Linked DNA regions of Danio rerio. The protein of the gene in region 1 interacts with the protein of each later gene in a pairwise test. Links are inferred from orthologs where the notes say so. Each region holds a gene or a part of one and is shown in the gene's direction. Other genes may lie near its edges. The genes, in order: usp20, bend7, vapb and trim23.

What was found.
Region 2: the proteins of usp20 (region 1) and bend7 interact in binary tests that used the Homo sapiens proteins (3 or more experiments, as listed by UniProt). The two-hybrid records come from large-scale screens. The link is inferred for Danio rerio from reciprocal best matches to the Homo sapiens genes USP20 and BEND7.
Region 3: the proteins of usp20 (region 1) and vapb interact in binary tests that used the Homo sapiens proteins (3 or more experiments, as listed by UniProt). The two-hybrid records come from large-scale screens. The link is inferred for Danio rerio from reciprocal best matches to the Homo sapiens genes USP20 and VAPB.
Region 4: the proteins of usp20 (region 1) and trim23 interact in binary tests that used the Homo sapiens proteins (3 or more experiments, as listed by UniProt). The link is inferred for Danio rerio from reciprocal best matches to the Homo sapiens genes USP20 and TRIM23.

Annotation. Positions count from the first base shown.
Region 1 is NC_133180.1:33,937,908-33,945,657, forward strand, and holds part of usp20 (ubiquitin carboxyl-terminal hydrolase 20), read left to right. Parts: intron 1-2,135; coding exon 2,136-2,217; intron 2,218-2,487; coding exon 2,488-2,596; intron 2,597-5,540; coding exon 5,541-5,643; intron 5,644-7,750.
Region 2 is NC_133193.1:9,570,544-9,578,293, reverse strand, and holds part of bend7 (BEN domain-containing protein 7), read left to right. Parts: exon of another isoform or gene 1-379; coding exon of another isoform or gene 380-434; intron 435-618; exon of another isoform or gene 619-621; coding exon of another isoform or gene 622-651; exon of another isoform or gene 652-683; intron 684-1,728; coding exon 1,729-1,803; intron 1,804-1,873; coding exon 1,874-2,149; intron 2,150-4,826; coding exon 4,827-4,958; intron 4,959-5,225; coding exon 5,226-5,509; intron 5,510-7,750.
Region 3 is NC_133181.1:52,213,942-52,222,420, forward strand, and holds the start of vapb (vesicle-associated membrane protein-associated protein B/C), read left to right. Parts: upstream 1-3,521; 5' UTR 3,522-3,778; coding exon 3,779-3,836; intron 3,837-8,479. UniProt on the Homo sapiens protein: Endoplasmic reticulum (ER)-anchored protein that mediates the formation of contact sites between the ER and endosomes via interaction with FFAT motif-containing proteins such as STARD3 or WDR44.
Region 4 is NC_133185.1:12,494,311-12,502,653, reverse strand, and holds the start of trim23 (E3 ubiquitin-protein ligase TRIM23), read left to right. Parts: upstream 1-3,614; 5' UTR 3,615-3,638; coding exon of another isoform or gene 3,639-3,725; intron 3,726-4,688; coding exon of another isoform or gene 4,689-4,851; intron 4,852-4,946; coding exon of another isoform or gene 4,947-5,068; intron 5,069-8,343.

The DNA of each region.
Region 1 (7,750 bases):
ACATTATGCACAGCCCTGTCTGAACCTTTTTAGTTGCTTGACATGTAGATGTAGAGTGTAATTCTAAAAATGTTGATTTTATTTACATGTAAAGACTTGACCGTCATTATGTGCACATCTTCTCAAGATGTTCTTCAGTTTGAAAATGTGCCAATTTATCTAGGATTTCTGAAGGTTTTTTGCTTCTCTAGAGCTTCATGTGATGACTCAGATGCAAACTATTAATTGCATTAAGCCACTTAATCTAATTATTAACTTATAATTGTTGTATGAGAGACAACTTCACAAATTATAACTAACAAATTATTATTTGAAACTAACAAATCAGATGTTTTTATCTCACTTTACCCACTTTAATAGTGTATTTGCCTTTAAAAATGTAATGTGATGTGTATTTATATAGCGCATGTATCGTGTATGGCCATACACCCAAAGCACTTCACAATCAGGAGGGGAGTCTTTCCACAACACCACCACCAGTGTGCAGCATCCACAATACAACTGTGGATGGGGATGATTGTGAGGCCATAATGATTAAGGGCCAAGAGGGTATTTGGCCAGGACACCAAGGTTACACCCTTACTCTTTACAAGAAGTGCCATGGGATTTTAATGACCACAGAGAATCAGGACCTCGGTTTATCATCTTATCTGAAAGACAGCGCCCACTGACAGTATAGTGTCCCCTTCACTTTTACTGAGGCATTAGGACTCAAAGGTTGGCCTCACTAACACCACTTCCAACAGCAACCTAGTTTTCCCATGTGGTCTCCCATCCAGGTACTGACCAGGCTCAGCCCTGCTTAGCTTCAGTGAGTAAATGGTCTTGGGCTGCAGGGTGATATGGCTGTGGCATATTTGCATATTAACATATTTCCCAAATTAAACACGCACTCACAGACAGGCAAACAAAGCGATTTTTACAGATTTTTTGGCATTCAAAAGGGTTCCTTGTGCTTCATATGATTACAGTTAAACCACTGAAGTCACATGAAATGTTGTGATGTGGAAGTTATGACAAAGGGCCCTATCACACCAGGCACAATAAGGTGCAAGACCTGTTTGGCGCAATTTGCTGCTATTTTAATTTAGTAAATTAATTTGCGCCACTTTGTGGACTTGTATGTGTACTTGTCTAGAAAGGAGGTGTGTTAAGGTGCATTGTTTGCACGTTGCTTTTTTGAGGAACTAAAATAGACTGTGCCAACTGAAAGCTGCTCTAAAGTCCAGCGCAGAGCACCTTAAGCACGTTGCCTACACATTGCTTAATACACACAGAATGTACAGCAATATGCAAATATCTTAGCAAATGAAAAAGAATTAAAGGATTAAAATTGCTACAAAAATTATTATTTTCTACATCAATATAAAAACCACTGCCTCAATGCCTTCTTCATCTCAGGGGGCTTTTTCAGTTTATTCAGGACAATTTGCTTTTGTATAATGTTATTATTAGTATAAGTATTATTGATTATATGCATGTTTAAATTTCTTTTAATAAAAACAAGCTCAGATTTGTTTTTTGACCACACTTACTATCCTTTTATTCATTTCTTTTATTCATTTGTAGAAATTAGAACTGATTTTAGAAATAGTTTTAAAACAAATCCTGGCTCTTAACAAATGAAATTTAAATATGTAGGCTAATGTATGTCTTCAGTGGAGTCCTTACAACACCCTTTTGTTATCCACGAAAGTAAAGGAGTAAAGTAAAGAGTAGAATTAAAGTAAAGAGGGTGAATCAAGGAGGTGTTCAGTTTTTCCACTTACAAAGTCTGCCATGTAAATAGCAAGTGGGCCATGGTGTGACACAACTGAAGGGGAGGGCTAGACTCTGATTGGTTTAATGCACGTTGTGCTCAAAACACACCCATAACTCATTAAGAGAATAAGCATAAACCTGTTAGCCTATGCACCGTGGCGCATACCCCTTTTTTCGTTCTTAAAATAGCAAAGGTGGATTTGGACTTAATACTTTTGCACCATGCGATTTAAACTTTGAGCCTAGATGGTTTAAATAGAGCTGAAACAGTTTGTTCATAGTTTGCACATATATGTATGCATATATATTATTATTATTATTTTTTTTCACTTGCTGTAGCAGTGGAAACTAAAATGATATATTAATTTCTACAGGAATTCCTCCTACGAAGTACCATTATGTGGATGATCTGGTTGTGATCCTTCCTCAAAATGTGTGGGAATATCTCTACAACAGGTGAGTCATACATAGCAATGCACAAAATTGACCTTTTGGACGTCCTCAACATTTATTACCTTCTAGAACATGGGATGATACTTAAACATTTGATCTTGTCAAGTCAACAAAACCAATGCTGAACTAAAAAAAATGTGAATGGTTTTCTGCCTGATGTCATGTGCGAGGAACTCCTCTTGCCGTGCAATATAAACAATGTTGAGTTATGTGTTTGCTCTTTTCACTGGCCATACTTGTGTAATTCCTCATGTTTTGAAATATTTTTCACAGGTTTGGAGGTGGCCCGGCTGTGAATCACTTATATGTGTGTGCAATTTGCCAAGTGGAGATCGAGACCTTAGCCAAACGACGGAAACTGGAGATAGACACCTTCATTAAGGTGAACAAATGACCATTACAGAATTACAGAACTCCTGTCTGTGAGTGTGATGTTTAAAATAGGAAGTGGCATTCATGAACAGCCAAATGCCTCAGACTTTAACATGTCGCCTTGTTTTTGAGCATCAAAATTATATTGTGAGAACACACTACATGGGTTTAACTGCTGTCTTGGCCTAAAGGATGATTTATACTTTTGCCTGGGTCTGCAGCGAGACCTTCCATTGACTGCCGTGAGTTTTGCCTCGAGGCTTTCATGCTTGATGCTATTGCCATTGTACTATTTTTTAATAACAACAGGGGAGGGACTTGGAATAACTGCCCTGACGACAGTGGCGAAAAAATAGTCAGGGATTGGAGTTGTTAAATGAATTAATTGTATATAAAATGAAATTGTTTTCAGTAACTTAAATAAAATTATTAGTAAATTAGTAACTTGTGCTGCATTTTATACATCCAAGCTAACTGCTTAATTAATGCAAAACCTTTGCACAATAAATATAAAAATAATTTACTTAAAAAATCTTGGGCAACCTGTGCACAAAATACATGCATTGTTTCTCTTTAAAGCTTCAAAAGAAGTTGTTTTGGATTTCTAAATATTCGCATATTCACACAAGTTGGCCAGACTCAGCTATAAGTGGTTCATCTTTGAATGTGGAGCCGTGTGCGAAGTTACGAAAAATGTTGCACATACCAAGTGCCAAAATGATGTTGTGCGCACTCAAAGTCAACTTCAGCCAACACTGTGATGGTGTCACATTGCACCCAATCGATGCCATGTGCACCCAATCGAATTTGCGGACACATCGTATATAAACCAGCATTTAGTCCTGCATAAAATTTACTTTTAGTATTAATCATATTTATTGAACCTTTTTCCTGTTTTTGTTTGATCAAGTTTTATTCAACGATATCTCAAATTAGTTGTTAGTAAACAAAAACTAGTCACTTTTTTTAGTTCTACATAATAGAATTGCTTTACTCAAAATAATGATTGTGACAATTGTTATTTCAACTTGTTTTATTTATAATTTCAGCCAATTATAACGCTTTCACCTTTGAGCAAAAATTAAGAGAATGCCAATTTTTTCAAAAACAGTACAGTCAATATCCATTTTCTATTAGGGCATACGCACACTATCTACAGTTGCCTTTAATCGGGCCGAAGCACGTTTGTCCCTCCTCCCGTCTCCCCTGACGGCCCGCACTCACATTAAATTCGGGCCTGGGCACGCTTGCATCATCGATGATGCGCTGTTCAGAAGTGCTCTTGCTCAGCACAGTGGAGATTTCTTAAGTTATATTGTTTTAGTTGTTTGGGATGCAGTGAAACACAGTCAAATATTTTGCCGAACAGATCCGCCACTTTTGACGCTCATAAATAATCATGAAGTCCTCGTGCTGCAGGAATTAGGAGGTTTGCTGAAAGTGCAGCTGTGGTGCAGTGAGGGGTTTGCGTCTTTAATAAACTCCGACAGTTTGCATTCATTGAAGAGTAAGAATGATTAATAAACACATCTCATGTCTCGTCTTCAGTTTCGGGCTCGGGCGCACTTTACACTCACACTACAAGCCATATTCTACTAGCTGCCATATTGCAGAGATTAAAGGATAAGCTTACCCTTTTAATTCTCACCCTCACGTTGTTCTATAGTCCTTTGTTCAATTTCAGAACACAAATTAAGACATTTTATATGAAATCCGAGAGCCTCATCCTTCATATATAGCAATGGTTTTGAGATGTTCAGAAAAGGAACCCAAAACATAGGGAAAGCAGTCTATGCGACGTCAAGGGTTAAACTGTAATCATACAAAGCTCCAAGAACAGTTCTGTACACCAAAAAATACTGTAAATACAACTTTGTTCACCTATATTTTCTCTTACATGTCAGGTCAGGGTGCACATTCATTGCAATATGATGCTTGAATGTCACACTGCTGACAATAGCCTTAGTAATGCCTGTAGTAAGTGCCCTGACCTGATGCAGGAGAGAAGATACAGGCGAACAAAGTTGTTTTAACATTTTTATTTGGTATTTGAAATAAATAAAGTGTTCTTGGAGCTTCATATGATTACAGTCTAACCATTAAAGTCAAAAAGAATGTTTTGAAAATGTTTTTGGTTCCTATTCTTAACATCTATTCTTCCATCTGCTGTCTATGGAAGGTTAGAGAGGTCAAGGCTTTCATCTAAAATATCTTCATTCGTCTCCGGTAATTACCATAAAAGTAGGGTGCAACTAATGATAGAATTTATATTTTTGAATGAACTAATCCTTTAAGTTAAACACCCTATCCTTTGATGAAAAAAGCTAATTTGAGGGGATTTAAACCCAATGCATCTGGCATCAGCATTTAGTCTTCTCTCTTTGACAAAACAAAGGAACGTTTATTTTAAGAAACATTCATTTTAGCCTTGTCTTTTTTGTCAACAATATTAAATTCCCATTTAATAATAATGATTTAACCGTGAAAAAAATATATCGATACATATTTTTCACCATATAATCAGTTGAACAAAATGAACAGCACTTCTAAGTTATTTACTCAGATCCACAGCATTTTTAAATAACCAACTGGAAACCTCACTTGGCAGGAGCATAATGTTCTTGGAAGTGTCTGCTGCTTGTAAAGCCAGAGAACTGATGAAACACAGACTGCATACTTTACTGATCAGGAGTGTGATCTGCACTGGAATCTTATCAGGGTGCAGTATCTGATAGGTGCATCACTAACATTAAAAACACACGGTGTAAAGCTCTGAAGATATGTGAAGATCCTGTTTGTAGTTCAACATGTTTGAAAGCGACATATAAACATGAAATACAGCATTTAACTGTAGTAAATATAACACAGTAAAGTACTAATGCTCAGAGTGTTTAAAGGAGTTTAAAGTTGATAATGATTATCTCCCTCTTTCTGTTTTCTCTCTCCATCTATAGTTAAATAAGGAGTTTCAGGCTGAAGAAGCTCCTACCGTCATCCTTTGTATAAGCATGCAGTGGTTCAGAGAATGGGAGAACTTTGTCAAGGGCAAAGACAATGGTACACACTCATGCAAACTCGTATACTGTAGTAACATGCATGTTAACAAACATGGATTGCTACTCATTTATGTTATTCGAGATAATATGCAGCAAAATTAAGAAAGCCAGGTCTTTGGTGTTTAGTTCACTGTTCTGAGGGAGGATTTTAAATGTTTGTTTATATTGTTAAATCATTTGGACTTTATAGTATATTTATAGTATGACAGTTTATCATACTATAAACATTTATAGTGTGATAGTTTGTAGTATTATAGTTTAATATATGAACAAATGTCAGTATGTAATCATTATCTGTAATCAAAAACATTATCATGTCTTACTCCTTACAATGCCACAACTTTTTCTGACAACATGTAAACCAGTATGATGGGTGAGAAATATGGTTCTCCAATGACTGATTGAATTTCAGTGCTCTCTTCTAACTTTTCTCTCATGAGTCCATCACAGCAAGTAGCAAATGACAACAACCCAGTCTATTCCTGAATTACTAAATTAAACCTTACTTTAATTCGTTTGCATGATGGATGCATTTATAATACACAAGAAAAAGAGAGTTTCATGCTGCATTTAAAGGCATAGTTTAGTTATATGTTATAATCCTGTCATCCTTTACTAATTCTTATTTATTTGGTTTTGGTCTCTATTGGTATTTATTATATGGATAAAAAAGTTTAATTTTTAAAAATGTATTTTTTGCTGTTTTGAAGTTAAATGGAGTGAATGTGAGTATAGGATACAATTTAGATTTATAGTGCCACTATTATACTGTTTTAAAGGGTCCTATTTGTGTTTTAGACTCCTAAAATAGGTTTATATAAGAGAGGCTCATTTCTGTTCTTTTTTCCAACCGACAACCGCTGCTCTTTAACCGAATATTAACCGTTAACTGGTCAGATTAATATTAAATTATTATTTAACAAAAAAAATAAATAATAATAATTGACGTGTCTATTTTGTGTCTGACACATTAAATATTGCATTTTAAAATACTGATTTATTTTAACGTGCAAACATATTAACCACAGGACATATTAACAACAGAACATCTTCACACACCTGCAGTGTTTCCAACAGCAGAAAAAAACAAACCAAATAAAATAAAAAAATTAGGCCTGCCCTAGATATTTTTCACATAAATTACAAATTAAGATTACAAAACGAAAACACTGACTAAATCCTTTTTAAGAACCAGCATAGGTTATTTCTTTCCCATTATGTTTTTTTTCTTCCATCAAATACAAATAGCAGGCAACCTCAAATCGATCACTCAACGGAAAATATGCATTTAAATAATGCTCCCCTGTTATAATTATATCACAAACCTCTGTCAACTTTTTAAATAGAAGTCATTACTTTAAAGATTATGTCTTGAGCGTCTATTTTTTTCCTCTCACTCGCTGCATGTGAAGACAGACAATGACAAGGCTCAAATGTGGACTTTTAGTAAAGTATAGGCTACTATAGCATATAGCAATTTTGTTGTTTACTTATGTTATTACATTAATTGCATACATATTTTATAAGCTATAAAATGAAAGCCTCAATTTTGTGCGGAGTTATCATTATGCACAAATCAAGAAAATATTCGGATTTGTTTGATTCATAGATTATGTAAGCTATAGATTATGTAATATAAAAAATGATATTTTATAAGCAATGTTAAAAACTGCAATTTTCCAAGAGGAAAAAAGGTTTGTTTGTTGGTTGTACACTAAATCCTCACAACTATAGCCTATTTGCTTTGTTTATGAGCAGGCTGGAGCGCGCTCTTATGGAGAGAAAATCTAGATGCTCCAACTTGTGGACAGCTTGTTTCCAAAGCAGCGTACATTTCATAAAGTTTTGTTTTGCGGCTTTTTGCTCCAATTGTGTAAATGAACATAGATGTTTATGAGGCGGATCCAGGACAGAGGCAATCAGCATCAGCACGGATTTGGCATCAACTCGTCTGTGTCAAACTGTGACCAGCAATATTCTTCTTTCATTTTGCTTCATTGGCAAAATAAAATGTCTGTAGGCACTTGTGGTTGCACGTGTTACAGTACCGCCAGTTAACAAATATGTGTTTCACATTTATACAGCCAATAAAAAAAAAAAATAAAAAA
Region 2 (7,750 bases), on another chromosome or scaffold:
CTAAACCCTAACGTCATAATAATGTAAAAACAGTAGTTGTGTGAGTATTATTTATGTTTTCTATTAAATTACTCAATAAATTGTATTTTTAATGCCCAACCCAACCGCCACATGAATTTTTGTTATACAGCGTCATAAAAAAAAATGCTGCTATATTGATGTGCATATCGCACTTCCGGCCGGCCGTGTACCTGATCTAAACTTTACCGGGCAGGAAGAGGTGGGGTGGGGTGCGTGCAAGGAAGGGGATCGCTAAAATGCCAGATCAGATTTCAGAGGTGCCGAATCCAGCTCCAGCTTGTTCCTGCACAAATTTAACCCTGGATAGAGACAGTGCAGTGGATGGGGATGATTGGGAGGCCATGATGGGTAAGGGCCAATGGAGAGAACTTTGCCAGAACACCGGGGTTACGCGACCATATCGACCATCGAGAGTCAGTACTTCAGTTTTTTTTACATTTTATCCAAAAGACAGCCCTAACTGACAAGTATAGTGTCCCCTTTACTATGTTGGGGCATTAATACAGGGGCACAGACCACAGGTTGAGCGCTCCCTGCTGGCCTGTGGCCTGTGACTAACACTACTTCCGACCACAATAATATATCTCCTTCCAACAGCAGCTCAATTTTCTCATCTGGCCTCCCATCCAGGTACTGACCAGGCTCAGCCCTGCTTAGCTTCGGTAAGTAACTGGTCTTGGGCTGCAGGGTGATATGGCTGTGGCTAAGGCAGTTGCTAGGGGGTTCTAGGTGGTTGCTAGGCAGTTGCTAGTTATGAAGACTGAAAACTGTATATGCGTCTATAAAAATGAATTATTGATTTAAATTTCATATATATTGTGCATGCACAGTCAGCTGCAAAATGGTAATGCAAAAATGCATACAAATAACGGCACCTTTAGAAAGCAAAAGTAAAACCTGAATCCTGGACATTTTAGGAGATTCAGAAACTACGGTCGGATGCATTTTGGCGGAAAAGGCTGCAGAGCACGTAAGAGTTCCTGTGTGAGTGACAGATCGCATACACACAGAACCAGCAGTAGGAAACGTGCAGAGCTAAAGAACATTTTCCACTGGTTAATCAATCGCGAATGTTTAGTTTTCTTGGACGGATACAAAAAAGGATGACAATAATAGTATAATTCATGTGTCACCACCAAATACACCTGGGCGACCCGCCCAAGTAAAGTCTATGTGTGGGAAGCACTGGTGTGATATGACCTATATTTTACAGTATATGGGGATGACAGGGTACTGATGTGGTCTTTCTCTCAGAGATGGCTGTCAAACTGACACTGAGTCAGGCTTCTGGGTCGGATGAAATTACGCAAATTACGCGAAATGACACAATTGAAACAGCAGTATATTTTATTGAAAAATTGCAGCTCACAGAATCATCTCGCTAAATTTGCCTTTATGGCCGCATTAAATTTGTTTGCAGGTCTGATCCGGCCGCGGCCTGTACGTTTGACAACCCTGATTTAGTATGTCTTTCTGATAACCTTTAACAGAATATTTTACATCTTTATGGAAATTTATCAAATATATATTTTTGCAGTCACTTCTGATCACATCACTTTAAACATATATTTGTAATATTTTATTGTATTGACATGATATTGAACTGACATTGTATAGACAGACAGACAGACAGATAGATTAATGTTATATATGTTTAATGTACAATGTTATATAACTTATATTGATGTCAAACTGTGATTGGTTCAGATTTTAGCCATGAAATGGATGACGTGGATCAGAATGACACTGAAGCAGAACCTCTGGATGCAGCAGAGAGTGAAGGTAGCTGTAATTCACCATAATGTACTTGTTCATGTTTATATAGGCTCTGTATATTAACTGTGTCTCTCAGTCTGGTTAGGTGATGAAGGGATGGAGATAAAGAAACAAATAACCGGTATGATGCGCTTGCTGAGTGATAAGACGGGACGCGTGTACCAGCGAGTGGGACGAGAGGGAGAGACCCTCAAGCAGGAGCCCCAAGAGGAGAACCTCAGCCAGCCTGTGATACACAGCGCGACCCCTGAACATCTGCAGTACAACTGGAGCTCAGTCATGCCTCTCTCTCAAAGCCAGTACAGCACTCGATCCAAAACACAGAGGATGCTCAACCACTGCAAAACTAATGGTGAGTCTTAGAGACCAGAGGTGTGTCCAGACCTGTCCATTCCCAATTCAACACATGCAAATTGTTATTAGAGACTTTCAGAAAGATTTGCTGTAGCTGGTTGCTGTTAAATTCTCACTTTGGTCTTCCAGGACCAGGACCGGACACAGTAATAATGATAGCTCATAAATAATCCCTATTGTAGTTTAAGCATTTAGTATCATCATTTAGGAACTTATGAATATAATTATTTTATTTTTATGTACAGTTGAAGTCAGAATTATTAGCCCCCCTGAATTATTAACCCCGTTTATTTTTTACCCCATTTCTGTTTAACAGAGAGAAGATTTTTTCAACAAATTTCTACAAATAATAGATTTCGTAACTCATTTCGAATAACTGATTTATTTTGTCTTTGCCATGATGACAGTAAATCATATTTTACTAGAATTTTTCCAAGACACTTCTATACAGCTTAAAGAGACATTTAAAGGCTTAACTAGGCCGGTTAGGGTAATTAGGCAAGTTATTGTATAACGATGGTTTGTTCTGTAGACTATCAAAAAAAAAGTTAGCTTAAAGGGGCTAATAATTTTGTACTTAAAATGTATTTTAAAAAATTAAGAACTACTTTTATTCTAGCTGAAATAAAACAAAAAAGACTTTTTCCAGAAGAAAAAATATTATCAGACATACTGTGACATTTCCTTGCTCTGTTAAACATCATTTGGGAAATATTAAAAAAAAAAAAAAAAGAATTCAAAGAGGGGCTAATAATTATGACTTAAACTGTATATAATTTTTTATTATGTCATTTGTCACTATAATAGCTCATAAATCCTCACTTCCGTAGTTTAAGCATTTTGTAACTTATTATTATAATTCATTATTTTTTAATATGGCATTTATGGCATTTTGCTGATTTCATTTATTTACATATTTTGTAATTTAATTTCAGACTATTTTGTTGTTTTGGTGTTTATTTGTTTGTTTCTTTGATTATATTTATTTTTTAGTTTAGTTATTTTCAGTGTTTGTAATGTTCTCTGCCGTTTGTCAAGTTTATATTCTTAATATAAACTTGACAAATAACTACAATACAGAAAGAGTAAATATACTTTTTTAAGACAAGTTGTTAGGATTTTAGATGATAAGCAATCCACAAAAGGTTCAAGTACAAGGTCTATCATTAATTAAGTAATATACTAATGAAATAATAATTTATTCAATATTATAAATTATTCTAGAATTTTTTCTGGTCTATACATATTTAAAAATATGAAGTCTTATTTTAGTATTTATATTTGTAAGCCTTCTGTTCTTCAGACAAGTATTTTAATTACATTTGTATACATATTTAAATACATTCATTCATTCATTCATTTTTCTTTGGTCTAGTCCCTTTATTATCCCACTATGCTACATTGATGATTATTATTATTATTATAATGCATTATGTGGTATTATATCATTAATTCATGTTTAATTTTTTATATTGTTTTTAGTTATTTAATTAATTAGTGTGTATTATGTGTTTTTCTGTTTTTTTCTGTTGTTTATTTAATTTAAGTCTTTTTTTAGTCATTTTCAGTTGTAGTAATGTTTGCACTTCTACGAAAACTAAACCAAAATTGCAAATGTTGCCTTGGCAAATAACTAAAACCCTGAAAGAGTCCATTTTCAACCTAAATATTGCAATTTTTGGTTTATTACTCTATATTATTAAGTAATATAATAATGACAGAATGATTTATAAATTAGATAATATAAATGATTTATTATAGAATTTATTTGTGTTTATTCATGTTTAAAAATATGAACTCTTAATTTAGTAGTTTTATTTGTATGCCTTCTTTCATATATTGTATTTGGGTGTATTCTAAGTGGGTAGCAAGAAGGTTGCTGGTTCAAACGCCAACTGGAACAGTTGGCAGTTCTTTGTGGAGTTTGCATGTTTCCCCGTGTTAGTGTGGGTATCCTCCAGGTGCTCCGGTTTCCCCTACAAGTCCAAAGACATGCGCTTTAAGTGAATTGAATAAAACAAATTGTCTGTAGTGTATGTGTGTAATGCAAACGTGTATGTATGGGTGTTTCCCAGTGTTGGGTTGCGATTGGAAGGGCATCCGCTGCGTAAAACATATGCTGAAAAAGTTGGCGGTTCATTACGCTGTGGCGACCCCTGATTAATAAAGCATCTAAGCCAAAAAGAAAATGAATGAAAATAATGATATTTTAAATTTTACATTTTAAAAATTCTAAATATATATATATAGTTAATATTTAGAGTTTCTTTAAATGTTTTTCATCATTTAATTTTGTTGTGTGTTTTTTTTCTTTCAACTATTGGTACTCCAACTTAAACTACATAGAAATGACTGATTTATTTATTTTATCTCATGATTTTTAAGTCTTGCCTCTGCTAAAAACAGTAAGACATTACTTGAACCTTGCATTTTGTGACCACAGGCTGCAGGAAGATGCACTGTCTGACACATGTCTAGACAGCTCTGGATAACACAGCAAATGCGTAATGTCCTCCTTCAGTACACAATAAAAGACACAAAACCTCCCTCACAGTTAGCCTGAGCCACATACATACACACACACACACACACACACACACACCGGAGTCAGACGTGCTTGGAGCCGCCGGGTGTCAGACATCGCCACTGATGCTGCATATGTGTTTGTGATTCAGACATGGCCTTGCCCCCCGCGCCTGCTGCCATGGCAACAGAGCCCAGCTGCTGTATGTGCAACTGCAAGAGCACCCTGAAGGCCATTCTGCTGGAGCTGCGCACCATGAGGAAACTACTCCAAACTCACAGAGGTAAAACACACTCAATCATGTGCTCTCAGACTGACCCTTCAGGATCTTGCAGATTAAAGCAAATGTCACAAGATTTTGACCAGCCTTAAATGCATTATCCCAGTAGGATCATCAACGACATCAAAAAACAGGTTAAAAACCTTGCTGTCTATTTGGCATCCACACATTGATGCTCGTTTGACCACCAAAAAATGACACAAAGATTATCATAACAAGAATGTGAGTGAAAAATGACCCGTGGTATTCTATGCTGTGCTGTGCTCTCAGGGCTGCAGGACAAACAGGGCTCTCACGTCTCGCTTTCCTCGTCTCGAACCTCCATCTCCAGGAGGAGGAGCCGAAAGAGGAGGCTGGGTCACAGAGTGGCTCTTCTGGTCACGCCCACAAAGAGAGCCACGCCCCCCTCCCCTTCTGCGGATGCTGTGAATGAGTGTGATCAGTCCAGAGAGGACACGCCCTCCACTGTGGCTACATTTACACCAGACCACTTTCCCACTGTAAAGAAAACTTCCCCTCACTACAGCGTCAGCGGAGGACAAAACAACACTGAGGTGAATCTGAATGTGTGAAAACCACAGAGAGCACTTGAAAATTCTCTTGAAACAATTCTCTTGATTTGCGATTTATGGTTGTGTGTGTGTGTGTGTGTGTTTGGGCAAAATGTCATTTTAGTTAATTCCTAATTTTAATGATTATTTTTGTTTAAAGTAACAAGGTGCTGTTACAGCGACTCTTAAGCTTCAAAGAAAAAGGAGGACCAGACGCAACCATCAAGGGCAAAAAATAACATTTATTTTAACATAACCATGACATAAATAATATAAGGTAAATGAAAAAGAAGAGTCAGGGCCCAAAGGGATGGCCAGCGCGGCTTAACCAAGCTCCATGCCAAGGCGATCGCTCAGAATTCCTCACTTGACTCCATGGAGAGCACACCAAGCGCTTTTTAAATCCATGTCACAACAAGCGGCACCTGTGTACCAGTTCCTCATCTCCAACCTATAACTGAAAACACACGCGCTCACCGCTGAAAGACTGGGACACCACACACACAGCCAATAGACTGAAATGCCACACACACTCATAGTCCATAGGCTGGGACTTCACAGTGCTGTGTTTGCACACTTGAAAAAGTACAGTACGTTTAGCTAGTGTGAACATGTCTTCTGAACTCGGGTGTGCACCCGTGAACCATACTCGAGTCCGCCTGAAAGGGTTGTCTGGGGTACGGTTCATGCGAACTCAGGTACAGTTCACTTCTGATGTGAATACAATCGTACCAAATAACAGAAGTGAACCGCCAACTGTACAACAAACTATAATTTTTATAATATTTGTTCGTGTGTGTTGTGTGTTTGTGTGTGTCACGTTTCGTACCTTGGATTCAAGCGGGACTGAGTTAGGGCAAACACAGCCAACTGTACAACAAACTATCGTTTTTATAACGTTCATTAGTGTGTGTGTGTGTGTGTGTGTGTGTGTTGGTGTGCGTGCGTGTGTGTGTCTGTTTGTGTGTGTCACATATCGTACCTTGGTGACAAGCGGGACTGAGCCAGGGCAAACACTGTATTCATTTTTGTTTGTCTCCTCCAAAAACAGCTCCTGCAGACACTGTGTGATGTTTTGAATGTGTATAATATTTGTGTGCGAGACGCTTTCTGCATGTCCAGAACCAAAAGGTTCAGTAAAAGCAAAATGACCGCAATGTGTGGACATCTTTCCATTTCGGCGCTTGCTTTCGTGACCGTCACCTAGCAACAGCTCTAAACAAAACAGCAGCTCGATGACTCAAGCGTACCGGGGTTCAGAAGGAAAAAAAACAGTGTGAACACAAACCAATCGAGAAGGTGGCAAGGGCGGACAATCGAACTTGGGTATGGTCCAGGGAAATGAACCAAGTGTGAAAGCACCCTTAATTATGGTGGCTTGAGAAAGCCAGCACATTGTTATACTACATGAACTTCTTCTGCTTCTGAGACTAATTTCTATATGCATCTCCTAGACTGTTCATACTACAACCTACCAAGCTAACTCCAAACCTCCAAACTGGTCTGATTCTGGTTGCTCTATTTTTTCCAACTGATCAGAATTCCGGTTTTCCGAAAACTTACCCGGAAAATTTGGAAAAGTCAGATTGACTTAACATTGGACCAAACTTTATGACCTCATAACTAGGGCTGCACAATTAATCAAAAAAAGATGACGATCTTGATTCGACCCTACACACGATCTTAATACAGCTTCTCTACGATTCAGCCAATTATATTTTCAAGGTCAGGAGCTTAAAAGCGGTCGCACAAGTCTTCACAGGATCATAAACAACGTCAAGTGGCATTAAAAGTGTCACATACTGTATTAAAAGGTATAATTCACCCAGAAATGTCACTTCTGTCTTCATGTAATGATGTATTTGCAGCCGCAAAATCACACGTGAGCTGACCGCCAGCTGTTTGTTTACTACTGAGAATGTGCCACGTGCACGCAGCATGCCAATGACGGCTTCTTTAGTAAACAGAAATTGCATAGGCTGTGAATAACAAGTAAGAAAGTTGTAAATAACGTTTAGTTTGTTGCACAGAGCAATCGTTTGAGAGCTGCGCTGAAAGAATGGTTTGCATGTATGTGTGTTTTTTATCACAGTGACGGCAGCCATGAGCCATGATATGTTTTTTCTTTCATAGCTATCACAAAGTGTTGTGCATGAAAATAAAGGTTTTACAGTGTCAGTATAGCTACTCTAGCTTAAATAATGTTGAATATAATGCAAGAAGAAATCTGATTATGACAAATGT
Region 3 (8,479 bases), on another chromosome or scaffold:
TGTGGTTCACTTATCCAGTTGCTTATTGGGGAACACAGGCTTTGCATTAATGTCTTTGAATGGATCTACATGCTACACTTGAATGGGATTCTTCGATGTGCTGTCTGGTGTAGTTTGCATTGGTCGTTTAGGTTGAAAAGCAGTGCCAACAGTCTTGGGCTGGCCCTAAGAAAGTTGTGAATTACATCCTTGTAGATAATACCACACATTGGATGAACTGTGTAAATAAACAGAGATGCAGTCAGGCAATTGTTATATACTTTACCACAGCTTGCCAATGTAATTCAGCATACACAGACGTAAATTAACCAATGTTTTTTTGTCATTTATCTATGTGTCTCTATTATTTTGTCTTGCGGAGAAGGCTTGGAATTAACATGTTTTTTGTTCGTTTGTGAATGTGCAAAAGGGAATTGTTCGGCTCTTTATTAATAATAAAATGATATGAAATTTAAAATGCACTGATTATTTTTTGTATTGGTTTAAATTCAATCGGAGAAAAGTGCAAATGTCTGCCTTGAGTTCAGAGGGATTGTGGATGTGTTCTGCGCTGGCTGCTGGGCTATATATATAAATATGACACTTGTGGTATGTGTCTCCTTTGGCAGGGGGTCTGTGCTGATCTTTTAATTGTGCTGAGGAAAGTAAAACGAGCGGCCCTTTAAGAACTGCCAGTCCGAGCATAAATTAACTCTGCTAATTCTGCAATTAACAATGCGATCTAGAAACTTGGCTGGGGAAAACCTAATTCATGTTAATTCTTAGATTCCTTTGGATTTTTGCACTGCTTTTGAGGAACAAACTCTATTAAATAATATATCAGCAATAGCAGTTTAATGCTATTAAAGAACATTTTTGTTTCCTTCATAAACCTTTTCTTTAAATAGCAGAGAACCTTGAAATAGACAGATGATAAATGTTCTTGTATGGCAATAAAGATCCTTTGTTTTTAAGAGTGCAACATCATTATGCAACCTTTACAATTTGATTTGCCATTTTTTTATTTGAATCTGAAAAACATTCTAATATCTACATAAAAAGTCAAAATCTTTAGAGAAGTACGACTATATTTCAGTAGTATATGAATAACTTGATGTTTGATAAATGTAAGCATTTTGGTTACTTTTTTAACTTTAATTATGTCTTTTTATAAAAACATTTAATTGCATTTATTGTGGTGTATCTTTAAAATGCATGCATAACCACACATACTCACCGGCCACTTTATTAGGTACACCTTACTAGTAATCCTTCGTGGCATAGATTCAACAAGGCACTGGAAATATTCCTGAGATTTTGGTCCATATTGACATGATAGCATCACACAGTTGCTGCAGATTTGTTGGCTGCACATCCATGATGTGAATCTCCCATTCCACCACATCCCAAAGATGCTCTATTGGATTGAGATCTGGTGACTGTGGAGGCTATTTACGTACAGTGAACTCATTGACATGTTCAAGAAACCAGTCTGAGATGATTCACGCTTTATGACATGGCGTGTTATCCTGCTGGAAGTAGCCATCAGAAGATGGGGACACTGTGGTCATAAAAAGAGATGGACATGGTCAGCAACAATAATCAGGTAGGATGTGGTGTTTACACGATGCTCAGTTGGTACTAATGGGTCTAAAGTGTGGCAAGAAAATATCCCCCACACCATCACACCACCACCAGCCTGAGACATTGATACAAGGCAGGATGAATCCATGATTTCATGTTGATGATGGCAAATTCTGACCCTACCATCAGAATGTCGCAGCAGAAATCGAGAGTCATCAGAGCAGACAGCATTTCTCCAATCTTCTATTGTCCAGTTTTGCTGAGCCTGTGTGAATTGTAGCCTCAGTTTCATGTTCTTAGCTGACAGGTTTGGCACCTGATGTGGTCTTCTGCTGCTGTAGCCTATTTGCCTCAAGGTTGGAGAGATGCTCTTCTGCATACCTCGGTTGTAACGAGTGCTTATTTGAGTTACTGTTGCCTTTCTATCAGCTGGGACCAGTCTGGCCATTCTCCTCTGACCTCTGGCATCAACAAGGCATTTGTGCCCACAGAACTGCCGCTCACTGAATATTATCTCTTTTTTAGACTATTCTCTGTAAACCCTAGAGATGGTTGTGCATGAAAATCACCTTTCTTCCCCATTCTCATGCAGTTTCTCAGGTCATGTCTACATGCCTAAATGCATTGAGTTGCTGCGATGTGATTGGCTGATTTAAATTGGCATTAACGAGCAGTTAAACAGGTGTACCTAATAAAGCGGCCATTGAGTGTATACTAGCATACATTATTAAAAATATTTTATTTCAAAGTTTCAGCTACATTTTTAACATTTTGAAAGGTGAAAAAAAATAATTATGACACAATAATAGCATGTTTCTAAAATATATTCAGAAATATCCCAAATATATTTGTGTGAATAATGCTTTTGTTCATTGAGACTAATAGAGAAATACAGGTGTTTTAGTGAGATGTATTTACAATACAGTAATAAAACTCTTGTATAATTATGTTTAGGCGACACAGTGGCTCAGTGGTTTGCACTGTTGAGAAGGCTGCTTGTTCGTGTCCTGGCTGGGCCAGTTGGGATTTCTGTGTGAAGTTTGCATGTTCTCCCTATGTTGGCATGGGTTTTCTCCAGGTGCTCTGGTTTCCCCTCACAGTCCAAAGACATGCGCTCTCAGTAAATTGAATGAACTAAATCGGCCATAGTGCAGCTGGAAGAGCATCCACTGTGTAAAACATATGCTGGATAAGTTGGCGAAGTTCATTCCACTGTGGCGAGCCCTGATGAATAAAGGGACTAAGCCAAAGGAAAATGAACGAATGAATGAAAGAACTATTTTCAATTATTAAACATGCAAAGCAGTACAACTTTCTTTAGAGGTCATCACATGTTGCAAAGTTACCATAACATGCAGTGTAAAAAGATGATCAAAAGTCACGACAGCATTTTTTAAATGTTATATTAACATAATTAATCAGTCTTTTTTAGTTACCTATTTTAATATAATTTTAATTCATTAATATTTTTTGTTTCAAAGCAGCTTTACATTCAAAATCAGAAAAGTTAGGTTATTAGTTACCATAACTTTATTAGTTACTAATAATTTAAAATAATCATTCATTCATTTTCTTTCGGCTTAGTCTCTATTTTAGAGGTTGCCACAGCATAATGAACCGCCAACTATTCCAGCATATGTTTTATGCAGCGGATGCCCTTCCAGCTGCACTACGGCTAATTTAGTTTAACACTGAATTATTATATAATTAAGGTATTATATGTAAACATAGTTAACCTGCAGTTATATAGTATATAGGTGATATTGTTTGAACACAATCAGTCTTTAAGTATTTAAGCTAACTTAATATTGAGTTTTACGAATTTGAATGAATCATTTTAATTGATTCATAGTTAAATTACCTGTAAAGTTTATAAGATTTACACATTTACAGTATATTTTACAGTGTTGAAGATGCACAGATGACCCATTAAGATCAGCACCTCCACCCTTCACATCAGTCGCCACTACTGAGTGCATACTGCAGGGGCAGGGAGTGACGTCACGGCCAGCCTCCCTCTCTCTCTCCAACAGTCCCTTCCTGCTGCATCACAACAGTCGCTGGCGGATCGGGTAACACTGAGCTATTTCCACTGCCGCGTGGAGTTTTTTATTTCGATAAATGTAACAGAAGTCCTCATCGACTACAGCCTCCGCCGTCAAAGCCCGTCGCCCCCGTCAGTCCGAGCGGTCAGTCCGAGCGTTTGCAGTGGGAGATGGCCAGGCCAGAGCAGGTCCTGCTGCTGGAACCGCAGCACGAGCTCAGGTTCCGAGGTGAGTCCAGAAAGCCCCACACTGACGAGGACTTGCGGATAAAACGCCCTGGATGAAGAGGGAGGGTCAGCGGGTGTGTTTTTTTAGTGGTTGGGGGCTGAAGGAGGCGGCGAGATGGCGTTTCTGGCAGGCCTCGGTGCTTGGAGTAATCATAATAATATTATGGCGCAGCGGTGTGTTTCTCAATCGGTTTATTATTCAAACTCCGCTAAAATGACACCTAATGTGACACGATAAGGTGTTCGCTTTGTGGTTTGTTGTATAGACTGACAAGTGTGTTAGCTTGAGCTAGCTTGATTTAGGCCTTGACATACAGGCTCTGCTGGTGGGCTGGTTAATTCGGTTAGTGTGAAGCGGTTCAACCGGTGTTGCCATGTCCGCATGTAAAATGTCGCTAATCAGATGTGCTCACTATTTGCTTATTTACATAATACAATAGCGAAATGCGTGTTTATCCTACGTGTAGTGTGTGTGCATGTCATGATATATCTCTGTCATCATTGTGAGATGATTTCTCCATTTGAATGACCGCTGTGAGCGAGCTGTCAAAGGCAATTGCTAATCTTTTCCCTTATGCAGACGCTTGCAGGATAGAGTTGTTATTGTAAATATTGCAATAATGAAAATCTGGGTTGATGTGTTTCGGTTTCTTTTGGTGAAGCAATTGGTTATTATTATGTTTTAACTTCTTTTGTCAGAATAGCTAGCATGTAGAGAAATCTGGCAACACTGACAACCTACCTTTGACGCTGCTTCCAGTCAGGAAGTTATTAGCGTTAGTCTGAAGACACCTTTGTTATTATTCCACTTCAAAGTTCAGCATGACGTGGACATGTTGATACTAATGTCATAAACAAAGCTATTCTGGTGTTTTGGATAAAACATTGGTCTTTGGTCGACATTTAAAATTAAATCATTTTCCATTTACATATTTGTTTTTTTTTACAGGATTTCTAGGTTAATGTCATTTAGACTATCATTACATTACTATCACTAAACAGACTAATGCTAGTTTCACTTGTACACTTCATGCCCATGTCAATCAGCTGATCCATAAGACTCACAAAATAAGAATGACTTTCCAAGCTTTTAAATCGCCATATCATTGGCTACATTCCTCATCATTTCTGGGATACTTGTATTTGTCTTGTTCTTTTATAAACAAAAGCCTTTGTGGCATGATCCCCTCATAGAAGAAAGCCATAATTTTTAAAATGTCAATAGTATGTGTAGTTCTAAGTTTAGCAGAAGACTGACAAGGACATTAGCTTCAGCTAGTCTGTTTAGGCCTTGACACACCGCTCTATTGGTGGGTTGGTTAATTTGGTTATGAACTGAAGCAGTTCAACCAATGTTGCCATGCCCTTGATGTTGCATTTGTGTTTTGCTGTCACTTACAAAATGTGCTGTTGAGGGTTTTTTATGACACTGTGTAGCAACATTTTGTTTATCCCACATGCATGTCTTAATAGTTTTCTTTGTCATTATGTGACATTTACTTCTCTCTTTGATCCACTCTGAACATTTCTCCTCATGGTCAGATAATTACAAGATGTATTTCCTGCCATAAGCAGGAATAAACAACTTGAATGCTTGTTTGTGTGATGTATTTTGTTTATTTCTGGCTTAATTGTACAGAAGATGTTTAATATTTTTATGGAGAAATCTGGCCGCCTACCTTGATGCTGTTCCCAGTCAGGAAGACATCAAACACCTGTATTATTATCTAACTTCAAAGTTCATACGACTTTATAGATAATAATGTCATAGTTATGTTGGTGTTTGAAATAAGAATCTTTTAATCCAATGAGAATTCGCATATTTGACATTTCAAGGAACACATTCTTTTGGAAGCAAAGCCGTTGTGAGCCAAACCAGCTTGAAAACATGTTGTTTTTCATAAGAATTAACCTTACACTAGCTCGTGAAGTTCACAATCACAGCATAGACCCTTAACAATGATTTATTGACTGCATGCTGGTCTATTTATTGTACTAATGTCACCTTACCACTAAATATGATACTGCTTTACACTACCTGACAAAAGTAGCTTGTCACCTATCAAAGTTTTAGGAACAACAAATAATAACTTGACTTCTAGTTGATTATTTGGCATCCGAAGTGGCTTATATGAAGGGCAAAGGCCTCTAGATTACTCTTAATTTATTTTATTATTTATTTATTTATTACCAAAATAAAATATGATCATGCCTTAATTTTTAATTATTTCATTAGGACAGTAAGGTCTGACTTTGCTTAGACAAAAGTCTTGTCACTTAACATAAATAATGTACAGTATAGAATATAAAGTCATGGTGCAGTGGAAACAGAAGGAATATTTTGCATAACTCCCATGATCTTGGACAACTGCATCCATACATCTCTGCAATGACTCAAATAACTTAATAATAAAGTCATCTGGAATGGCCAAGAAAGCGTTTTTGCAGGACTCCCAGAGTTCATCAAGATTCTTTGGATTCATCTTCAATGCCTCCTCCTTCATCTTACCCTAGACATGCTCAATAAAGTTCATGTCTGGTGACTGGGCTGGCCAATCCTGGAGCACCTTAACCTTCCTTGCTTTCAGGAACTTGTGGAAGCTGAAGTATGAGCAGGAGTGGTGTCCTGCTGAAGAATTTGCCCTTTCCTGTGGTTTGTAATGTAACGGGCAGCACAAATGTCTTGATACCTCAGGCTGTTGATGTTGCCATCCACTCTGTAGATCTCTCGCACGCCCCCATACTGAATGTAACCCCAAACCATGATTTTTCCGTCACCAAACTTGACTGATATCTATGAAAATATTGGGTCCATGAGGGCTTCTGCAGTATTTATGATTTATGATGTATGAAATGTAGTTCAACAGATGATTCATCAGAAAAGTCTACCTCCTGCCTCTTTTCAAGTTATTATTTGTTGCTCTTACAGCTGTGCTCGACGTCTAGGCTTTTGTCAGGCAGTTTACATGTGTTGTGTTTACATGCTCTGTTCCCGATCATAACTCTCTAGAATCACATGATTCATAAAAGCCTGACTAAAATATGCCAGCTGTAATCCACTTCAGACCCTAGTATTGAAGTGTATCATATATATATATATAATTGCTGTGTAAATGCTTTTATTCTACCTTTGTAGGGTAAAAATCTCATTAGTCTGCTTAAACTCTGCACCTGCAGATCTGCTTATTCTAATTTACTTTTTTTCTCCCATTACATTTGAATGTTTGGCATAATGGTCATTCCGTTTCATCGTAACTTTGAAATCCAATGACATAAGTGTCATTACTTTTCACCAGTTTGACCCATTCAGGCTGTTTTATGAGATGATAGTCACGTTTTATAGTATAAGCAGAATAAATACTTTATCAGATTTCACCAGCCATCCCATATTCATGCAAAACTTGAAGTTAGTTTTTCAAAAAATTACAGTTTTGCTATTGTACTCACCCTGATGTAATTCCAATACTGTTTCTCCTTTTTTCTGCGGAAGCTAAAACAATGGTACTTTGAGAAATGCCTCAGTGTTTCTTACGTTTCTTAAATGTCTCATTGTGTCCACACAATGGTAGTCTATGGACTCCAATATTGTTTTGTTCCCACCGTTCATCAAAATATATTCCTTTGTGTTCACAACACGGGGTTTGGAATGATATAAGGGTGAGTAAATGATGACAGGATTTAGAGAAAGCAACATGATGTTTATGCATTTGATAGATGCTTTTATACAAAATTCAAGCTATACATTTTATCAGCTGCTTGTGCTGGGAATGGGCAAAAAAGCCTTTGATATCATCTAAAATTGTATATGCTCAGAAATGAGTATGTTACACACTATTTGATCTCAAATTTCTTTCTAGTATTTCTCATCTCAGGGAAATTATTATTACTTTGAACTCTCTATAAACATACATCTGAAATAAGGAAGTAAAAAATGGTTGTCTGTCAGGATAGAAGCTAGAAAGTGAACAGTTCATTTTCATGCCTAGATTACAATTTAAATGACTCCAATTTTGGCCTTTTTACATGATGCAAAATAAGTCTTTATAAGTCTTCCAGAATGTGTCTGAAGTTTCAGGTCAAAATACCCTTCAGATTATTTAAACCCTGTTGAAAATGTCAAGTTCGGGTCAGAGAAATTTGTAGTTGTTTGTGTCTTTAAGGGTGTACTCACTCTAGGCTATCTGAACTGTGCCTGAGATCCCCATTTCCCAGCTCGTTTGACGAGTGTGAGTGCTCTGTACCATGCCAGGGCACGGATTGGTTGGCTGGCCCTTTCCCGGTTTAAAGAGGTGTGGCTAGAGGCCAGAGTGCGGTTCACTTGGGCACAGTTCATGGTATGCTTGTAGTGTGAGCGCGAAACTGATGACGGAAGGTCATTTTTAATGGACTATTTCTGTAGTGAAGTTAGCTGGTTTTTAGGTGAATTTGATCGTCGCCATAGAGTGCCGGTAAGAGCACGGAGACTTGAACCCCATTTAAAGCTCTTTAATGTCCATCACACTTTAATAGGTACAGTCCTTTACGTGGGAGTGTGTGTGTATGTGTGTGTGTGTGTGTGTGTGTGTGTGTGTGTGTGTGGTCTAAACAAAAGAAAGAAAATATACATTAATAAGTAAATTTAGAAAATAAGGATAACAGTAACAA
Region 4 (8,343 bases), on another chromosome or scaffold:
TATCCAGGAATTTCCAAATGTACTTTTTTTTACCAAAGCAGAATTAATTATAATTGTTTTATTATTAGTTTTTTTATTATTATTGAAATGGACAAATCGTGACTTAGGGCAGTTCCATGTGCTGGCCAGTTTGTTTTCTGACGAATAAATGATAGTGGGCTACAGTTTTCTTACTTTAAAATAGATTGCTATTTTTTCCTTATGATATATGATTTAAATTTGTATTTTAAAACCTATTCTTTATTTTAATTTTTGTTATTGCAATTTTTTTAGGAAATATTTTTAGCAAATCAAAAACTGTGGTTATAATGACATCTGACTAGTTAATCCTTCAATAAATTTATAAAATGCAGTATTTAAATCTTATAGCATTAATTAGTTCACATTTTATCCATAACCCACAGTAAATAAAAATAGTAGTTAATAGTTAAAAACTAACAACATGCAAAAAAAGACCTCAGTCTTTACTTTTTTTCATAGGATTGTGTATTAGATTAGATTTGTTAAATTACCAACATAGACTGATTTTACAGCATCATGTTAAACTTCATGGTAATCAAAAAAAGATGTGAATAAGGTCATTTCCAATTCAGTTTCTAATTACACACTATCACGCTGCTTTAGAACTTGCACGCTGCTATCGCTGCTTTAGAACTTCAAATGTTCAACAACCTTATAGTTTTATATGTCTTAACAATAAAAATGAAAAAAATATATATTTATATTTATTCAGGTAAAGATAGAACATGGATCTAAGGGCATCGTAACGTAACGTACTTACCGCTGGACCACAATGTCCAATGACGCTGCTGTGATTGTGTGGCTGGAATGATACTTAATCCTCACCAGTACCCTGCAGGCTACATTTTGCTCATGGGGCTGCGAGACAATAAATAAGAAGAGTGAAACTGCGGCAAAATAATGGATAAAAAGACTGAGGCTATGGTCAAATAAATAAATAAATGAATAAAAAAGTGTGACTGCGACTGCTGCTTTCTCCGCTCGCCATGCTGGAGAGAAACATTATATATATATTTTTTTTGTATTTTCAAAACATTTCCAGTCAAATGCTTAATAATTCTTACATTATTACATATTTTAGCATAACATGTGTGACAAAAATCAAAAAAGCAAAAGGAAGGAAAGAAAGAAAAATAAAACAAATAAAAAACAGGAGTAGGCATTACCATAGAGAAGAGGAGTTTAGCTGTTGAAGTATATTCACAGTCCTGGTTGTTTTACGATTTTAAAGTCCTTTAAGAGTCTCAAAATAAATTTTTTAATCAGCCTTGAAATGAAAGATGTTAGGCTTTCTCTCCGTTCATTTACATTTGTGTATATGAAACTTGCCCAATAATATCAACAGATTAAACATAAACAGGAGATTCTTATCTAAATCTTTTTTATCTGTAGAAATATGACATCGCTTTTCTTAATAATAATTCTATGACCCCTCAGTATATTAAATAGACTTTCAACATCAAACCAGAAATATTTAACATACATACAATCAAAAAACAAATGCATCATAGTCTCAACCTCCATTTCACAAAAAAAACACACGATTCTGAAAGATCAACTTTATACCTCTTGAGAAACTGGTTAGTTGAATATATTTTATGTATAATTTTAAAGTATATTTCACTGACTTTATTAGTAACACAATACTTATTGTTATAGGTCCAAATCAAATTCCAATTAATATTCTCAAATTGGTAATTCCAAAAGTACTTGTGTCTAAAAATTGCAGGACAATGAATGAAACTTCTTAGAAATGTATTATTACATTTTCTATCTTTGACATCAACACCATCTAATAAAATCTCATTTTTAATTGTTAGCTTATCTAGTTCACTGTAACCCTGCAAAAGCCTTACCAGGCCTGCTGGTATTGCATCAATTACAATACAATAATCTCGTGGGGGCACTGGAAAAATAAACTTCTCTAAAAATTTTGTATAAGTCAGTAAATATCCTTTATCATTCACAATAACTATGAGACCAATAGAATATCTTTTTTTTTAACCCAATTATCAAAGAAGATTGATTTGTTTTTATATCTGACAGTTTTATTATTCCTTATCATTTGTTTATGGGGAGAAAAATTGTGTTTGTATAGAGGTATCCAACATAAAAGAGCCTGCCTATGAAAATTAGATAACTGAATGGGAAGTTTATTAATCTCAAAGTCACACTTCAAAAGAAACCCTAAACCACCAAGTTTTTCAAAAATAAGGTTTGGGATTATACACCATATTTCATTTTTGTGCTTGATATAATGTTTAATCCAATTCAACTTAAAAAAATGTATTGGAAGTATCAAAATCAAGCAAATTCAAACCTCCTTGATTATATGAATTACATAAAATATTTCTATTTAAATAATGAGGTTTGTTTTTCCATATAAAATTAAACATCCCTAAATAATTTTTTTTAAATAACGGATTTTGGTACATCCAATACTTTAGCAAGATACACCGATTGTGATAAACTTTCAGTTTTAGACAAAAAGAGTTTAAGTGATAAATCCCTCATGAGAGAGGAACAGTCTGCGCAAATGGAGCGCAGAGTGGGTGTCATCGACTACAGCTCTCGTCTGATTGGCTGAAAGGTACGAGTTGCCCTGCCTCTGGCAGGACAGTCTCAAAAATACACACACAAGTATCCAGGGGGAGTCGTACGTGAAAGAGGATTTGCACATTCTCATTCAGGATGAACTCGCAAGTTTTAAACATTCAAAACTTTTTGTACACTCTTATACATTTGCAAATTGTGTTTTGCATTTGTGAAACGTATTTTATGAAAATGCATTTTTATTTTGTGCACGTGAATTTTTTTTGTGAATATAAATAAATATTTTACGCAAGTGAATTTGGTTTTATGCACGTGAATTTGGCTACGCATGTGTACATCATGTCTTTTGCGTGAATTTCTTTTGAGACTTATCTGATTCCATATTAATCCATCAACATATCACTAAAATGCAGTATTTAAATCTCGTAGTTAAATAGAAAACTGAGGCGTATAAGTGCAAAAAGGTCCACTTTTTGAGAAAAAAAGAACCACCCCTTTTACCAGGCTGGCTACAGGCCTAAATAGTCCCCAGAAAATTACAGTTGGTCAGATGTTCTCAAATTTTGTTGACTGAAAATTGGTGTTATTCCACCAAATATTGATTTTTCAACTTTCTAAAGCTGTTGATGTTTCCTCCAAGTTTAATGTGTATTTTTTGTCATTTAGACACATTTTAAATAATAAAAAAATAACAAAAATGCAATGTTTTGAAACATGTTTATTTTCACTTTAAGACAACACTATACAACGTTTTAACTTCATACGAGTCAGTTAAGCAATATTTGGTAAATTAACCCTAATTTTCATATGTATTTATTTCGGGCTGTAACATTTGATGAGCGCGTACTCGCACAGGAAACAGCTGACAGACTGATCCACTGTTATACATGGGTGACAGAGTTACACGATTGGTATAATTTAATTGAGACATAATACAAACATTCGCGATACAGCTTAAAAATATAATTTTAAAGTAATTTTTATTACCACATGACAGCCTAAAATAGAGCTAAATTACTATGCCATGTTCACACTAAAGTGTCATTAGATGGTTCAGTCCGAGGATGGCCGCTGCTGTCGGTGTAAATAAACAGGCGTCGATGGAATCGTGTGTGAGACACGGCCGAGGAACTGCCGCTAATGCGGTGAAGGTATGATGCATATTAAATAAATAACAACTATACTAGATGTTTAGCTAACAACGATCACGTAAGAGACGTTATTTTTAACCTGTCTAGGTGGAGTTCAGTGAGATTCTGCAGGGCGTTAGCAGGCTAATGATAGCATCATTCAAAACTGTCACAGCGTTTCTTACATTAAATAAGATGTCACACACCTATTTTTAAAACGCCCGACACTGTAAAAAACAAGTCGTAAGTATGAAAAAATGTGTTGTATTGATAACTCTGCCGTTATTAAATGAGTTGTGCAGAATGGGTTAGCCGGCTTGGCTAAATGATCAACTGGTCCATAGAAAGAGTGTGAGCTTCATATCTTCAACACTTTTATCATTTAACGTCAACTAGAAAGCAATTAGGAGATGTAGTTATAAGTTATGGCTGAACATAAGGCAATAGGTCTAAATGTTGCAGAATTAATGACATACGTCATGCTAGTTCCCCCAAGTTTATTATAACATTCTTTCGATATTAAATTAAATGTTAGCTTTTATGAACGTACGTATGCGTTTTGTATAATATAACAATTGTTATTATATATTATAATATATAATATAAACGTTTTAGAATTTAATTTTATTCTTTGTTTTTGCTGAAATATTTTTTCAAATAACAAATAAATTGTAATTAACAAAAGCTTAATTGGCTTTTTGAATGAGAAGTTAATAATTTAAAATGAAGGATGTGATGATATTCTTCATTATTGTTATGTGCATATACTAGTGATTCAGCATGTTAAAAATGTGGGATGGGACTTGATTTTGTCAGTCTCAAACTAATTGAAGGATTGGTTGTTTGTTATTTTCTATTTGTGGACATCATGTAAGTTAAAGGCCTGTCTTTTTATTAAAATAAAATTCACTCAGAAATGTCTACACAAATAATAATCTGCAACATTTCCTGTAAGAAATACATGTTTTTTTTGTTGACTTAAAGGTGTTGGAGTGTGGTGTGTGTGAGGATGTGTTTTCACTACAAGGTGATAAGGTACCACGACTGCTGCTGTGTGGACACACGGTGTGTCACGACTGCTTGACACGACTGCCTCTCCACGGCAGGGCAGTACGCTGCCCCTTTGATAGACAGGTCACTGAGCTGGGTGAGTTTGCCTTTCTGTTCACTATAATAACAATGTAACTCAATATTTAAAAATTTCCATACTGGGAAGAATCATATTCTTGTTTTGCTCTCCAGGAGACTCAGGTGTGTGGGGCCTGAAGAAGAACTTTGCCTTGCTAGAACTGCTTGAACGGCTACAGAATGGGGCAACCAATCAGTCAGGCATGTCGGAGGATGCGCTTCGTGAGATGGGAGAGGTTAGAAGTGTACATTTTTCAAATTTACAGTTTTTTTTTATATTAGCAATATAGCTACAAACAAAAAATGAAGTATAAACATGATCTAATGTGCTGCATTTCAGATTCCATACCATCTGTCCTAAATGGATCTCTAAATGAGTTTAAAAACAAAATCTTGGCAGTGATTATGGGGATAGAATCCTCTTTGTCCAACTTGTTCCTCCTTACACTATGTGGTTTTTAATCATAAGTTTATTTTAAAAATGGCATTGTTTTATGCTTTTCTGTAGCTGCACAAGCACAAACAAGGCAAAAAATGTGTTTTAAGTGCATTTGCCATATTTTGACTTTTTTCCACCACTGTGCTTTGGTATAAATAGCCGCTCTTCTCTCTTATGCATAAGCAGAGGCGGACTGGTCATAGGGAGCACCGGGACATTTCCTGGTGACCTGACAGTCAATCTACCTACCACTGTGACTCTGGCCTGCCGTCTTTCAATTATTGATCTCTTATACCCCCTCACCCCTGCTATTCACTTACTGATCGCTTTCCAACCGGGAAATGGGGTGGGCTTCGCAGCATCAAAGGCTAAATATACAGCGCGAGCGGTCAGGAGCGGAATTAAAAACTGGAGGGAGTGGGACTAAAAATTCAGTTCCACGCAGATCTCTACCGTAGTTTAGAAAACTCAAAAGTTTTAAGACTGACAAAATTTTCTGCTCTACTGTTCCTACTGTATATGTACGTTTTGTTTTTTACATTTTGTTTTTAAAACAATAGTATCTCCAGCAGAAAATATCTACAAACATGCCTTTTCAAGTTACCACAAGAAATCTTTGTTTTTGAAACTAATGAAGATAGCAGAAAATATTATTTAATAATAAAATTTATTGAGGCGTCCTTTTTGTGAGCCCATTAAATATATTTAAAATACTGATTTATTTTATCATGCAAACAGCAGCATACAAAACATAAAAGAGCAACTTCACGCACCTGCATTGTTTCTAACAGCATAGAAAAAAAAAAGAATAAACTAAATAAACAAATAAACAAGCCTGCCATAGATATCTTTCACCTAAATGACAAATTTAGATTACAAAACGAAAACACTGATTGTATCCTTTTTAAAAACTGGCATAGGCTGTTTTTTCCAATGTTTTTTTCTTCCGTCAAACAAAAATATCAGACTATTAAATCGAATGCTCCACTGAAAATATGCATTTAATTAATGCTTCGTTGTATATTATGTCACAAAACCCTTTTGACCATTTTAATAAAAGTCATTAGTTTAAAGATTGTCAAAATTACTTAGTTCCCTATTTCACTTGCAAACAGCATTAGCACTGGTTTGTGTCAACTTGTTTGTGTCAAACTTTGACTAGAAATATTCTTCTTTCATGTTGTTTTTTTGACAAAATATGTCTAGACACGAGTGGTTGCATGTGTTATCATTCCGCAAGGTAACAAATATTTGTTGCACATCAGGTGCCAATCACAGCAAACGCGCTTTTCCGATCCAAAAATGCAAGGCGCACTGCACTGCCTTTATGTTGACAAAAAAAAAGAAGCGCAGTGCTTTTTTTTTTTATGTCACTATAGGAAGCGACTGAATCAGCTGGTCTATTGTGCGCGAGTGTTGCTGTCTTATGTTGTTATCATTTTAATATATGGAATAACATAATTTGTAAAGTAATCTGCCTACACCTCTAGATAACTTGAAACTGCAGCCACAAGTCTCTCCTCCATCATTAGTTATCTGTCATCCTGACAACACAAACACTGGAGGCACCTCCGTTCAGGGTTGACTTTTATTTCAACTGCGAGCACACAACATAAGCAGCATGCAAAACAGTTAATAAACCCTTTAAAAAATGTCCTTCTCAACACAAAAAGCGCGTTCATTGTGATTGGCCCCTTATGCAGCCAAACTTTAAAAATATATAAAATAATATTTTTTAATCGTTTAACCGATACCATTAATCTATTACAAACACACCATTTCGGTAAGTGGTTAATCGAAAATTTTAAACATCCCTATTTCAAAATATATAAAGTCTCTCAAAATAAAATATATTGTGTTCAAAGGGAAAAAAGATTTAGTTTTTTACCCAGACATTTGAAAGGAACATATTTTAGAGGTGTAATTACACCTTGAGGTGTAATACCGTAAAACTGTGAAAATGTTTATTTGTGATATTTTTATACTGGCCCATGCATAGTTTGCAATAATAACATTTCCTACTTGATGAATAGTAATGTATACAAAGGACACAGTCGCTTGTAAACTTGAAGTTGTCGTTAGTAGTAAATCATTTCTCTGTGGACATATCCTAGTGTAAGTGAAATTTCTGGTTTGAGCCCAAATTTTAGCTTGTTATATTTATTTAAATTGTCTTATTAATAAGAGTGAATGTTAAACGGAATTGGGACAAAATGTTTATTCTTTTTTTGGTTTGGACTAAAAGAAATGAAATGCATCAAGAAAAGAGAAAAAAAAGTGAAGCAAATAAGTGTGAACACACCTGACTCTGAAGTCATTCGTGACTGTAAGATGTCCCAAAAAGTACATTTGTTGAGAAAAAATAAATAAATAAAAAATCTAAGTATGTATGTACTGTGTGTTTGGTATGCTTTGTTAATTGCACTTTATACTATAAGTTGAAGCAATAAATGCAACTTGTGTTTTTAAAAAATCCAGTAACAATATATCCATTAATTCAACATACGACACTGTCGTATACTCACACAATAGCCCCTTTCACACATACAGACCTTTCCGGAAAATTACCGGCAATTTTCCGGAAAGGTTGTATGTGTGAACAGGTCCTTTTTGAAAATACCGGTAAATTCGTTCTGGCTATTTTCCGGAAAGAGAAGTTGTAACATTACCGGCAATTTGCCGGAATGCTGCGCTGTGTGAACGCAGAAGGAATATTTCCGGAATAAGCGCGTGCACGTCTAGAACGTGCTGACGTAAGACTTCTGCTTTAGCCAATCACAACAGTCAGACGCATTTACGTCCGCGCGGTTTGTGAGAATAAAAGCCTTTGAATATTTTTCCAGACGCATTTAGCTGCTAGAAGTTAGTCAGATAACGTTTATATGTTCTCCTTAATGCCAACTGTGCAAATAATCATCGATAAGATGCTTATGATAAGCCGTTGTTTGTTTACCTTCAAGCTTTGCGTGTGCCCATGAAACAGCCTGTGAGCGGCAGCACACGCACATATTATGAACATCTCGACATGCGAATATGATCCTGTGAAAGTTGTTTACAATATTGATCATCAAA